Macaca fascicularis: one gene and its partners. The protein of the gene in region 2 binds, or shares a complex with, the protein of the main gene of each other region. Links are inferred from orthologs where the notes say so. Each region holds a gene or a part of one and is shown on either strand. Other genes may lie near its edges.

What was found. The genes of interacting proteins can lie anywhere in the genome.
Region 1: the proteins of TGFB1 (region 2) and ITGB8 are in contact, whole or in part, in a cryo-EM structure (PDB 7Y1T), measured with the Homo sapiens proteins. The link is inferred for Macaca fascicularis from reciprocal best matches to the Homo sapiens genes TGFB1 and ITGB8. Residues at the interface, in NP_000651.3 of Homo sapiens: His117, Thr241, Arg243, Arg244, Gly245, Asp246, Leu247, Thr249, Ile250, His251, Gly252, Met253; in NP_002205.1 of Homo sapiens: Ser156, Ala157, Ser158, His160, Asn161, Asp213, Tyr214, Asn215, Leu216, Gly248, Asn249, Ile250, Asp251, Thr252, Glu254, Gln286.
Region 3: the proteins of TGFB1 (region 2) and LRRC32 are in contact, whole or in part, in a cryo-EM structure (PDB 8VSC), measured with the Homo sapiens proteins. The link is inferred for Macaca fascicularis from reciprocal best matches to the Homo sapiens genes TGFB1 and LRRC32. Residues at the interface, in NP_000651.3 of Homo sapiens: Leu30, Ser31, Thr32, Cys33, Lys34, Pro325, Pro327, Tyr328, Ile329, Trp330, Ser331, Leu332, Thr334, Gln335, Tyr336, Val339, Leu342, His346, Ala353, Pro354; in NP_001122394.1 of Homo sapiens: Ser135, Tyr137, Glu158, Ser160, Thr162, Val184, Met186, Asp187, Ile188, Glu189, Asp190, Phe193, Leu202, Leu204, Arg206, Asn207, Ser208, Leu209, Thr210, Cys211, Ile212, Ser213, Asp214, Phe215, Ser216, Leu217, Leu223, Leu225, Cys227, Ser229.

The regions. Positions count from the first base shown.
Region 1 is NC_088377.1:109,813,022-109,816,589, reverse strand, and holds part of ITGB8 (integrin beta-8), read left to right. Parts: intron 1-1,861; coding exon 1,862-2,267; intron 2,268-3,568. UniProt on the Homo sapiens protein: Integrin alpha-V:beta-8 (ITGAV:ITGB8) is a receptor for fibronectin. It recognizes the sequence R-G-D in its ligands.
Region 2 is NC_088393.1:48,471,345-48,474,912, forward strand, and holds the end of TGFB1 (transforming growth factor beta-1 proprotein), read right to left. Parts: intron 1,666-3,568; coding exon 1,512-1,665; intron 610-1,511; coding exon 451-609; 3' UTR 313-450; downstream 1-312. UniProt on the Homo sapiens protein: Transforming growth factor beta-1 proprotein: Precursor of the Latency-associated peptide (LAP) and Transforming growth factor beta-1 (TGF-beta-1) chains, which constitute the regulatory and active subunit of TGF-beta-1, respectively.
Region 3 is NC_088388.1:75,536,808-75,540,375, forward strand, and holds part of LRRC32 (transforming growth factor beta activator LRRC32), read right to left. Parts: intron 899-3,568; coding exon 1-898.

The DNA.
Region 1 (3,568 bases), on a different chromosome or scaffold from region 2:
TCATGCTATAGAAAAAAAGAAAAAGTTATTGAACGTGATAGAAGATTCTAAAAATGAATAAAAGAGAATCCTGTCTTCTCTTTAGTTAGAATATGTTTTTCTATCTTAGGAATTTTAGAGCTGTATATTTTAAATTAATTATTGCCAGTTTCTAATTCTGTGGTTTCTTCTATGATCACTCCATGGATTTTGTTCAAAAGATATCATATTTTGCAAAATACACTTTGGCTTTTCATTAAAACTACAGAGAAAACTTTTTACTAGCAAATATAGCACTAAGTTACTTTATGAAAAAACGGCTACTGTCTTAGAAATAGTTATTTCCTTCAAAATCTCATTTTGGAAGAGTGGTTTTTCTTACCTGTTACACTGTTTTTTTCTTTTCATTTGCTTACATGCCATCTCTCCTTCACTTTCAATTGAGTGGTTTAAATAGTTTAACTCTCAGGAATAGTCATATGACCTCTTAGTTATGGAAACCCCAGAGTATGATCTACTGTTAGAGATGGCAGTGGCCACATTAACTTACGTATCTGTTAAGCCTCAGCATTCTCAAAGACGAAAGCATTTTAAGTATAACACCAACTGTATTGATTTTAATATTACGGAACAAATTCTAGTGTTTCATGTATATATAAGCCAAATTTAGATACTTTATATTATTGTATCATTGACACACATTCCACCCAAAAAGCTCAAATTAATTTTAAATTGCAATGGATCTCAATCCAACATGAAATAAATATACCTTATTTACCAAAGTACCTAAAGATGGTAAGGTGAGCCAATAAATATAAATAGACATATTAAATCAATTGTGTTGTGCAAAAAGAAGAAATAGAGAAAAAGAAAACATTTGACCAGTTCCTGCCAGCCCAGCTCCTTAGTTCTGGGCTATCTTCTTCCACTGAGACAAGCAGATGACCTGTGCTGAGGTCTTAAGATTTGAGAATGAGAGTCCTAAACAATTTTATTTTGAGTAACATCACAGAAAGCCACATGTTTTCCTCCACTGAAACCCTGTATAAACTAAAATGTAACTCTGAAACTTTACTTGGGCTCCTAGAAAATAGGAACAAAATTAAAATTGTTCATTTGAACATCTTACCTCAGGGTTTTTAAAATCTTTTATTTATTTATTTATTTATGAGACGGAGTCTCGCTGTGTCACTGAGGCTGTAGTGCAGTGGTGCGATCTCGGCTCACTGCAATCCAAGTGATTCTCCTGCCTCAGCCTCCCTCCCAAGTAGCTAGGACTACAGGTTCATGCCACCACACTCAGCTAATTTTTGAATTTTTAGCAGAGATGGGTTTTCACCATGTTGGCCAGGCCGATCTCGAACTTCTGACCTCGGGTGATCCAACTCCCTCGACCTCCCAAAGTGCTGGGATTACAGGTGTGAGCCACCGCGCCAGGTCTCATCTCAGGGTTTTAAACCAGTAGAGCAGAAGCCCTTTACTTTGGTTTATGTGATCTATCTCTAGTGTCAAATATTCAATACCCCACATTTTAATGGCTGAATTTAGAAAATGGTCTATTCTTTCTTATGTTTGCTAAGAAATTAATCATCAGTGATGGGGTAGACGCTTCAAAAAGGCTTGCACTCAAGTCTATTTAATGGTGCAATATAGGGATTAGCAGTCATTATATTCTTTAACTCTCAAGTTCATTAGTTGGAGAATAAATGACATTAAAAAGAGATGTTGCATGTATATGAAAGTGATTACATGTGTTTATTTTACAAATATTTTTAATTTCTCTAAGATGGTTTCTTATCAATTCAGTTATTAACAGATATAATATTAGTAATAAAAATAATTAAGGTATGTAAATATATTTCCTTTTTCCTCCTAAATTTAGGTTCTTTTCAATGTAACAGTTACAATGAAAAAATGTGATGTCACAGGAGGAAAAAACTATGCAATAATCAAACCTATTGGTTTTAATGAAACCGCTAAAATTCATATACACAGAAACTGCAGCTGTCAGTGTGAGGACAACAGAGGACCTAAAGGAAAGTGTGTAGATGAAACTTTTCTAGATTCCAAGTGCTTCCAGTGTGATGAGAATAAATGTCATTTTGATGAAGATCAGTTTTCTTCTGAGAGTTGCAAGTCACACAAGGATCAACCTGTTTGCAGTGGTCGAGGAGTTTGTGTTTGTGGGAAATGTTCATGTCACAAAATTAAGCTTGGAAAAGTGTATGGAAAATATTGTGAAAAGGATGACTTTTCTTGTCCATATCACCATGGAAATCTGTGTGCTGGTGAGTATAAATATACACGGGCAGCTTTTACTTGTCACTATTACACCAGCATAGATGTTAAAGTATCTTTAAATCACATCTTTACAAATTAGCAAAATTGAATCTGAATTTGTTATTCAAAGTTTCATCGTCCATGAAATTAGGGCATGGCAACAGATTTATAGTATGTGATTTTGATATTTATATTTTAACCTATTTTATACAGGAAATGCTTCAAAATAAAAACCTAAAATTAATTGTTATGCTCATGCTTTCCTTGATCTTGGAAAGAAATATACCAGAAAAGGAAATGCTGATGATATCTGACACATTTTCTAGAAGAATCAGAGTATTCTTCTAGAAGGATCTGATTCATTCTGGTAAATGGTCACTCCCTCCAACTTGCACATAGGATTTTATTTCTGTCAGGATGATGGGGAGTGAGGTATAAGAGTATATTTTTCATTCATATGAAAATCTTTAATGCATTATTATAAATGGTATTCTAAGCTGGCAGGAATTTAAGCCTCTCCAGTTTATTTTGGGCCACCACCAGCAACGAAACTGCCAAAGGACAGCATTCTTCAAGAAAATACTTCCTTACTAAGTAATCTAAAAGATTCGTCCTTGAGGCCACACACAGACCAAATTTTAAACATAAAATAAATTAAAATAAAAATACCAAGATTACTCTTGGGCTATTCAATTTACTGCCACCTACAGGTTAGATTCCAGAAAATCTAATCAACATTTGCAAACTAAAACAAAATACCATTTTTAAGTGAATTAAATAAATCACCTGTCATCTGCGTTCTGTGATAATTTTCCTGTGACAATATGCTAAATTTACTCGTTGAGAAAAACATCTTTTTAGTATCTGTATTTTAGTAAATAAATATTTGTTAAATTATTGATGAATGGAAACATCATCATAAGCATATGGGATGCAACAAACCTATAAAAAATAAATGGTGCAATCTAGTCGAAGCTGAAAATTTGGCCTGTATCACCTAAATGTGCAGTGGAAATTGTCTTTTTTTCTATAACATACATAGAATATTTTAATATATATACAAACATGTATTCAACTGTAACTGACATCATGGGTAGGATGGATTATAGATGACTTTAGAATGAACCAGCAGTTGTCTACCATATTTTACAGGGAGGAAAAATATTATTTTACAGTGAAGAGAAAGAATTTTCTGAAGTCACGTCCCACAACTGTCAATCTCTCAAGAGAGTTTCAAATACATTTGAGTATTTGTCCCAGTCCCTGCAGTAAAATATCTAGTGTACTAGCTTTTCTATATGAGTATGAT
Region 2 (3,568 bases):
TCCTCCCTTAACCTCTCTGGGCTTGTTTCCTCACCTTTAGAATGGGTGTTATCAGAGTCCCTGCATCTCAGAGTGTTGCTAAGGTGACTGAATGAGTTCATTAATGTAAGGCACTTCAACAGTGTCCAAGGTGCTCAATAAATAGATCTAACTACAGTAGTGTTCTCCACTGGTTCCCTGTGCCCTGATGCTGGGCAAAGGAATAGTGCAGACAGGCAGGAGGAGGCAGAGAGGGACAGAGATGGGGTGGGAGTAGGGGAACGTCAGGGAAGGAGACCCCAGGCAGGCGCCCAATGACACAGAGATCCGCAGTCCTCTCTCCATCTTTAATGGGGCCCCAGGTGGGCTTGGGGCACGGGTGTCCTTAAATACAGCCCCCAAGGGCAAGGCAGCGGGGGCGGGGCGGGGCGGGGCCGGGCCTGCCGGGGTGGGGCGGGGCGGGACGGGGCCTCAGCTGCATTTGCAGGAGCGCACGATCATGTTGGACAGCTGCTCCACCTTGGGCTTGCGGCCCACGTAGTACACGATGGGCAGCGGCTCCAGCGCCTGCGGCACGCAGCACGGCGCCGCCGAGGCGCCCGGGTTATGCTGGTTGTACAGGGCCAGGACCTGCGGGCGGCGGGCGGGGTCAGGGCTCAGGGATAGTGGAGGGAGGAAGATGGCCCTCCACTGCCCCATCCCCCACCCCCTACCGCGCCAGCCTCTCCCCGCATCCCTGTCCCCCTCTTCCCATCTCCAATTCGGTCTCTCTTATCTTCTAACATCCTATCTTATTCTGTCTCTCCCCATCTGTCTGATTTTCTTTTTGTGTTGAGACTGGGTCTCGCTCTGCCACCCAGGCTGGAGTATAGGGGCGCGATCAAGGCTTGCTACAGCCTCAACCTCCTGAGCTTAAGTCATCCTCCCGCCTCAGCCTCCGGAGTAGCTCGAATCACAGGCAAGCGCCACCACTCCTGGCTTTTTTCTTTTCTTTTCTTTTTTTGGTAGAGATGGGATCTCACTCAGCTGCCCGGGCTATTTTCGAACTCCTGGGCCCAAGCGATCCTTCTGCTTCAGTGTCCCAGAGTGCTGGTATTACCAGCGTGAGCCGCCGTGCCCGCCTGATTTTCTTTCTCAGTCTCTACCCTTCCTCGTCGTCGCCTCTTGCCTTGTTGTATGTCTTTGTCTCTCCTTGCTCTAACTCTGTGTTTGTATCTGCCTCTCTCATTTTGTCTCTCCATTTCTCTCTGCCTTTTTCCTTCCATCTCCCTGTCTTCTCCCCTTTACCCCCACCCCTCTGTTACTTCAGTTCTGTGGGCCTTCATATCTCATCTCCCTCTGCCCCCTGCTCAGAGCCCTTCTCTAGCTTCCTGCCTCTCTCCCCATCTCTTTATCCATTCCCTTTCCCACCCCATCCCTCTTTCTCCCCATCCTGCCAACTCACCTCTCTGACTTGACTTCTCTTTCTCTCTCCTCTTCCTCTGTCCTGGCTCCCCCCAAGCGCACCTCCTAGCCCGGTGGGCCAGACGTACCTTGCTGTACTGTGTGTCCAGGCTCCAAATGTAGGGGCAGGGTCCCAGGCAGAAGTTGGCATGGTAGCCCTTGGGCTCGTGGATCCACTTCCAGCCGAGGTCCTTGCGGAAGTCAATATACAGCTGCCGCACGCAGCAGTTCTTCTCCGTGGAGCTGCAGGCAGGAGAGACGCTCAGGGGTAGGGAGGGGCTACCACCACAGGAGCGGTGCGCCCCTCCACCACAGGAGCGGTGCGCCCCTCCACCACAGGAGCGGTGCGCCCCTCCACCACAGGAGCGGTGCGCCCCTCCACCACAGGAGCGGTGCGCCCCTCCACCACAGGAGCGGTGTGCCCCTCCTCCCCAGGTGTGTGTCACCCTAAGTTGCCCCCCCAGCCCTATCTCCATCTGGGTCTCCCTTGCACCCCATGTTAATAACAACACAAATAGTCATGATAATCACTAACACAGATTAAGCACTTCCTCCAGTCAAGCACTGTGCTAAGAGCGATGTAATAATCTCATGCAATGCTTAAGACAAGCCTGTAAGAAGCCAGATGACCATCCCCCGGGGGGCTAAATAAATCATGGCATGCCCACACCCTGGAACATACAAAATAACACGGCTCCATGTAAACTGATCTGCTCTGTTTGTGCAACAAATGTTTATTGAGCTACTACTGTGTGCTGGGCTGGGATCTACTGGGGGCTGAGGACAAATGAAATAGATAGAAATAGGCTAGGCATGGTGGCTCAGGCCTTTAATCCCAGCACTTTGGGAGGATGAGGTGGGAGGATCGCTGGAGTCCAGGAGTTCGAGGTTGCAGTGAACTGGGATCACACCACTGCATGCCAGTCTGGACAACAAAGAGCAACACCCTGTCTCTAAAAAATTGTTTTTCAATTTTTTAAAAAGAGACAGAAATCTCTGCCCTCCAGGGTCATGCTATAAATTGTCATGTCACTCCTCTGCTCTGAACCTGGCTCCACCTCATGGCAAATGCCCAAGTCCTCACCGTGAGCCACAAGGTGCTAGCAAATCTGGCTGATCTCAACTCCCTCTCTCACGCCTACTCCACTCCAGCCACACTGGCATCCTGTCTGTTCCTCAGACAGTCTTATCTCAGGGCTCCTGCATCTGCTGTTCCCTCTCTATCTTGCTAGTCCCACAGATACCCACTCCAGCTTGTTCCTTCACTTCTTTTTTTTTTCTTTTTTTTTTTTTCGAGACAGAATCTCACTCTGTCTCCCAGGCTGGAGTGCAGTGGCACGATCTCGGCTCACTGCAACTCCGCCTCCCAGGTTCAAGCGATTCTCCTGCCTCAGCCTCCCGAGTAGCTGGGATTACAGGCGTGTGCCACCACACCTGGCTAATTTTTTGTGTGTTTTTAGTAGAGACAGGGTTTCACCATGTTGGCCAGGCTGGTCTCGAACTCCTGACCTCGTGATCCGCCCACCTCGGCCTCCCAAAGTGCTGGGATTACAGACCTGAGCCACCGCATCCGGCCCATTTATTCTTTTTAATTTGTTGTTCTTTTTAGAGACATGGTCTCACTATGTTGCTCAGGCTGGTGTCGAACTCGGGCTCACGCGATCTGCACGCCTTGGCCTCCCAAAGTGTTGGGATTACTGGCATGAGCCACCGCACCTGGCCCCTTCACGTCATTTAAACCTTAGCTCAAATATCCTTCACTCAAGGACCCTTAACTCCTAAAGCGGTGCCTGGAATGCAGTAGGTACTCAGTAAATATCAGTTACATGACTGAACATCACCTCCTCGGAGATACCATTCTGAGCCATCCTTTCCAAAATATCCAAGTGACTGTTAGTTCCATTTAGTGCAATATGGTATTGCAGTTATGTAAGAAAATATAAAAATGCATGCATTTGAAATGGGGCAAAATCTTAATCACCGATGACGCTGGATGAGAGTTTACAGGCGTTCATTATCTTCATTGCTTTTGTATACATTTGAAATTTTCCATAATAAAGCAATTTAAATCAGAATAGGAAAAATAATAGTTCCCAATATCTATTACTCTGTCTGCCTTCTTCTGATTTGTTTTACTACTTAGAAC
Region 3 (3,568 bases), on a different chromosome or scaffold from region 2:
CAATCTCATTGTAGCTCAAATCCAGATTCAAGAGCTGGGAAAGGGGGCGGGCACTGACATTCCCATTGGGGGTTGAGAGGGGCAGGGCTGACCAGCCCTCGGAAGGCGCGTGGATGCCCTTGCTGTCCTGGGGTGGCCCTGTGGGGAGCCGGATGAGGTTGTTGGACAAGTTCAGGTAGATGAGTCTCGGGAGCGCGGCCAGGTCGGGGAAATGGAGCAGTTTGTTCTCCCGCAGGTCAAGCCAGGTGAGCTGGAACTCGGCCTGGGGCTGGGAGGCCGTCTGAAAGGCCTCAATGCTGTTGCAGCTCAGGTCCAGCACCCGCAGCTGCTGAAGGCTGAAGTCGGAGATGCAGGTGAGGGAATTCCTGGAAAGGTTGAGATGGGTCAGGTGGGGCAGGCCCTCGAAGGCGCCATCCTCGATGTCCATCAGCACGTTGCTATGCAGGTCAAGCTGCTCCAGCGCAGGCATGTCCCGGAAGGTGTGGCGGGTGAGGCGAGTCAGACTGTTCTCCGCCAGTGAGAGGGTATGCAGGCTGGGTGCCTCCCCTAGCAGCCGCTCCAGCAGGCCGCTGTACAGGCTGTTCCCAGACAGGTCCAGGGAGGTCACACGTGGCAGGGGGCCCAGACCACCGGCACTCAGCGCAGTGGCCATCGCCAGCCGGTTGTGAGCCAGGCTGAGGTGCTCCAGGTGGGTCAGGGCCTGGAAGGCTCCTGGCTGGAGGAAGTTGATCTCATTGGTGCTCAGGTCCAGGTGACGAAGTGCCGTGTAGAAGCCCAGGGGTGAGGCCAGGATACTCCGCAGCTGGTTCCCAGAGAGATCAAGGGTCTCAGTGTCCGGCGGGAGCACCAAGGGGACCTGGAGCAGGCCCAGACCCTGGCACGAGACCTTCTTGTCCACCTGGGGAGGGGCAGGGTGGGGAGACAGCTGGCATAAGTGGGCGCAGTAGGGGATAAAACCAGACACGTTTATCCAGGAACCCGGCCTGGCTGGGAACCCTTCTCCCATGGACTCCCAGAATGCTCAACTTTCCCTCACCGCAGCCTGATCACCCCATGCCGGGATGACCCATCCGGCTCCCTGCCCCATCTGCGGCACCCAGCACAGTGCTGGGCATTAAGGAAGGAACTCGATGAAGTTTCTACGGGTGGACAGATGGAGAGATGACAGACAGATAGAAGGACAAATAAACTAACAAAGAAACCCTGTACTTATTATTACCCCTCTTACAGGAAACAGCCATATATCCCACAGAGTGACCCCAAGCCAGTGAGCAGCAGGGCACAGCAGGGACCCAAGGCTCCTGGTTCTATGCAGAGAGTTAAATTTCCAGGGGCAGGATGGGAATTTCTCCACTTTGGGAGAAATGTTTCCAAAAGGGAAAACTGTAATTTGTGCTCTGTCATCAGTTTTTATCTTGGCCTCAGACCTCATTCAGGCTCTCGTGTCGTGGGCAGAACCTGGGTCCCGGGGCCTGCCTTCCTTGTGGATGCTTCCCAGGGGTGGCCTCCTCTCTGTTGCTGTTACCTGCTAGGGGGTGGCTTTCTTCCCAGGCTGGGTCAGGGGACTAGGCCCCTGGAGGTGGGAAGGGGCAGGGAAAAGATGGCCAGAGCCAAATCCACAGCCTTTGGTGACGAGACCATGTTTGTGCTGTGCGACCTCCAGGAAGTCACATAACCACTGTTTTCTTACGTCCTTCCCCAGCAGCCACTCAACATTTGACATCTTCGTTAATACTTTCAGGCCTGTGGTCCCATTGGTCTTTACCACAGCCTGTGCATCTGATACGATCACCCCATTTACAGAAATCTAGGCTCAGGGAAGGGAAGGGAGGTGCCAGGATTGCCCAGCTGGTGAGGAGCAGAGCTGGGATTTGAACCCAGGTTTTTTAACAACCAAAGGCCTCAATCTTGTTCTTCCGCAGATGTACCTTCTGGGACCAAAATTCTTTCTGTGCAAATGCAGGTCTCCCTTTTCTCTTCCAGGCCTCCAGGAACCCCAGCCTTTCCCAGAAAAGAGTCTGACTTCCACAATCACCGGGCTCAGGCTCACTGCCCCCAGCTTCTGTCTCCACTGACCCATTCTGGCCCATTCACTGCTAAATGCCTGACAACGGCTCAAAAGCTCCACTCTGACTATGAGGCAGCTTGGCTTAAACTTCTCCATGGTGAAGTCCAGGACCCTCAGCAGGGCCTTCGAGGCTGTTTGTAGCCCCTGCCAACCTGTCCCCCACCTCCCACCCCAGCCCACATGCAGTGACCACAGCTGACCACTGCCCATCATGCCCTCCCACACCCACTGCTGAGCCTCCTCCCTGAGCTGGATATGCCATCCCCAACCAGATCCACATGTGAACTCTTCATGTTGAGCTTCAGGGCCTCCTCTACCAGGGAGCCCTCCCTGACTGTGCTTCCTCTCAGAGCTTTGCCCCGCTGAATTGTGGCTGTTTGTGTGGGGACCTGCTAGACAGCGAGCTCAGAGCAAACAGGGACTGGTTTGGTGGATGTGGATGCCTTGGACCTGACTAGCAAGTCAATTTTTCCTAATGAATGAGTCCCAGGCATCATCGGTTTAGTAAAGGTCTGAGGCACTGAATCAATCACTTCTCTGGGAGGAAAGAAAATGGATGATTGATATTTTCAGAATATAGTCAAAGACGGCTAGAGCAAGAAGAGTTCAGCTCACCCACTTCCCAGATGGGGACACTGAGGCCTGAAGATGACAGTGACTTGCATGAATTCACAGTGAGCCAGTGGCTGAGCTGGTAGGGAAGGAACACAAGCTGGCGTGTTCCTCTCCTGGTCCAGCTCTGCGCTTCCTCCTGAGAGCCCCAAGGTGAGTAGGCGGAGGAAGAGACCTGCCCAGCCTCAGGCCTCTGTGTGGCTCTTCCTACTCCATGCAGCACAATGACTCCATGTAGCCTCCAAGGGAGGCAGGTTCACAGGGGCCTCAGGAGGCCCAGGGATGCCCCGGCAGTTGGGCACTTGTGAGAACCTGAAACCTGCCTGGCTGCCTTGCCCATCCTTGCCCTTCCTCCCTCACAACCTCTCTGCCTGCAGGGGCCACTAAACATAGCCTCCTCCTCACAGCCCTTACCCCCTGGGGCATTCCTTATTTAAAGCAGAAACAACGAAATGACCTGTGGTGGAGCCCCAGCTGTGTCAGGCTTCGTGCTGAGTGCAGAGGCCCCTACCCCATTAAATATTCCCAGGCATTGTTCACCCTGCTCCTATTGTACCTCTAACGAAACTGAGGCTAAGGGGAGTGGGCTGCCCAAGATCAGACAGGCAGGGGCTCAAAACTCTCATTTGCAAATTCCTTTTCCTATTGGTGCCAGCCAAGTTCTGACCACTGGGCCCTCAGCTGGTCGGCACAGCAAAGAGCATCAGGGACCCACTTACTGAGTGTTACAGTGTGGGGGGCACTCTGCGGTGCCCCACGTGTTACCCCCGGGCAAGTGGAGAGGCATACTGCCTCTGGATAGGCAAAGGCTCCCTGGGGCACTAGCCCCTGAGACTTGATCCAGGACACAAAGTTTGCCAAGCCCACAGCCCAAGCCTTCCTCTCCAT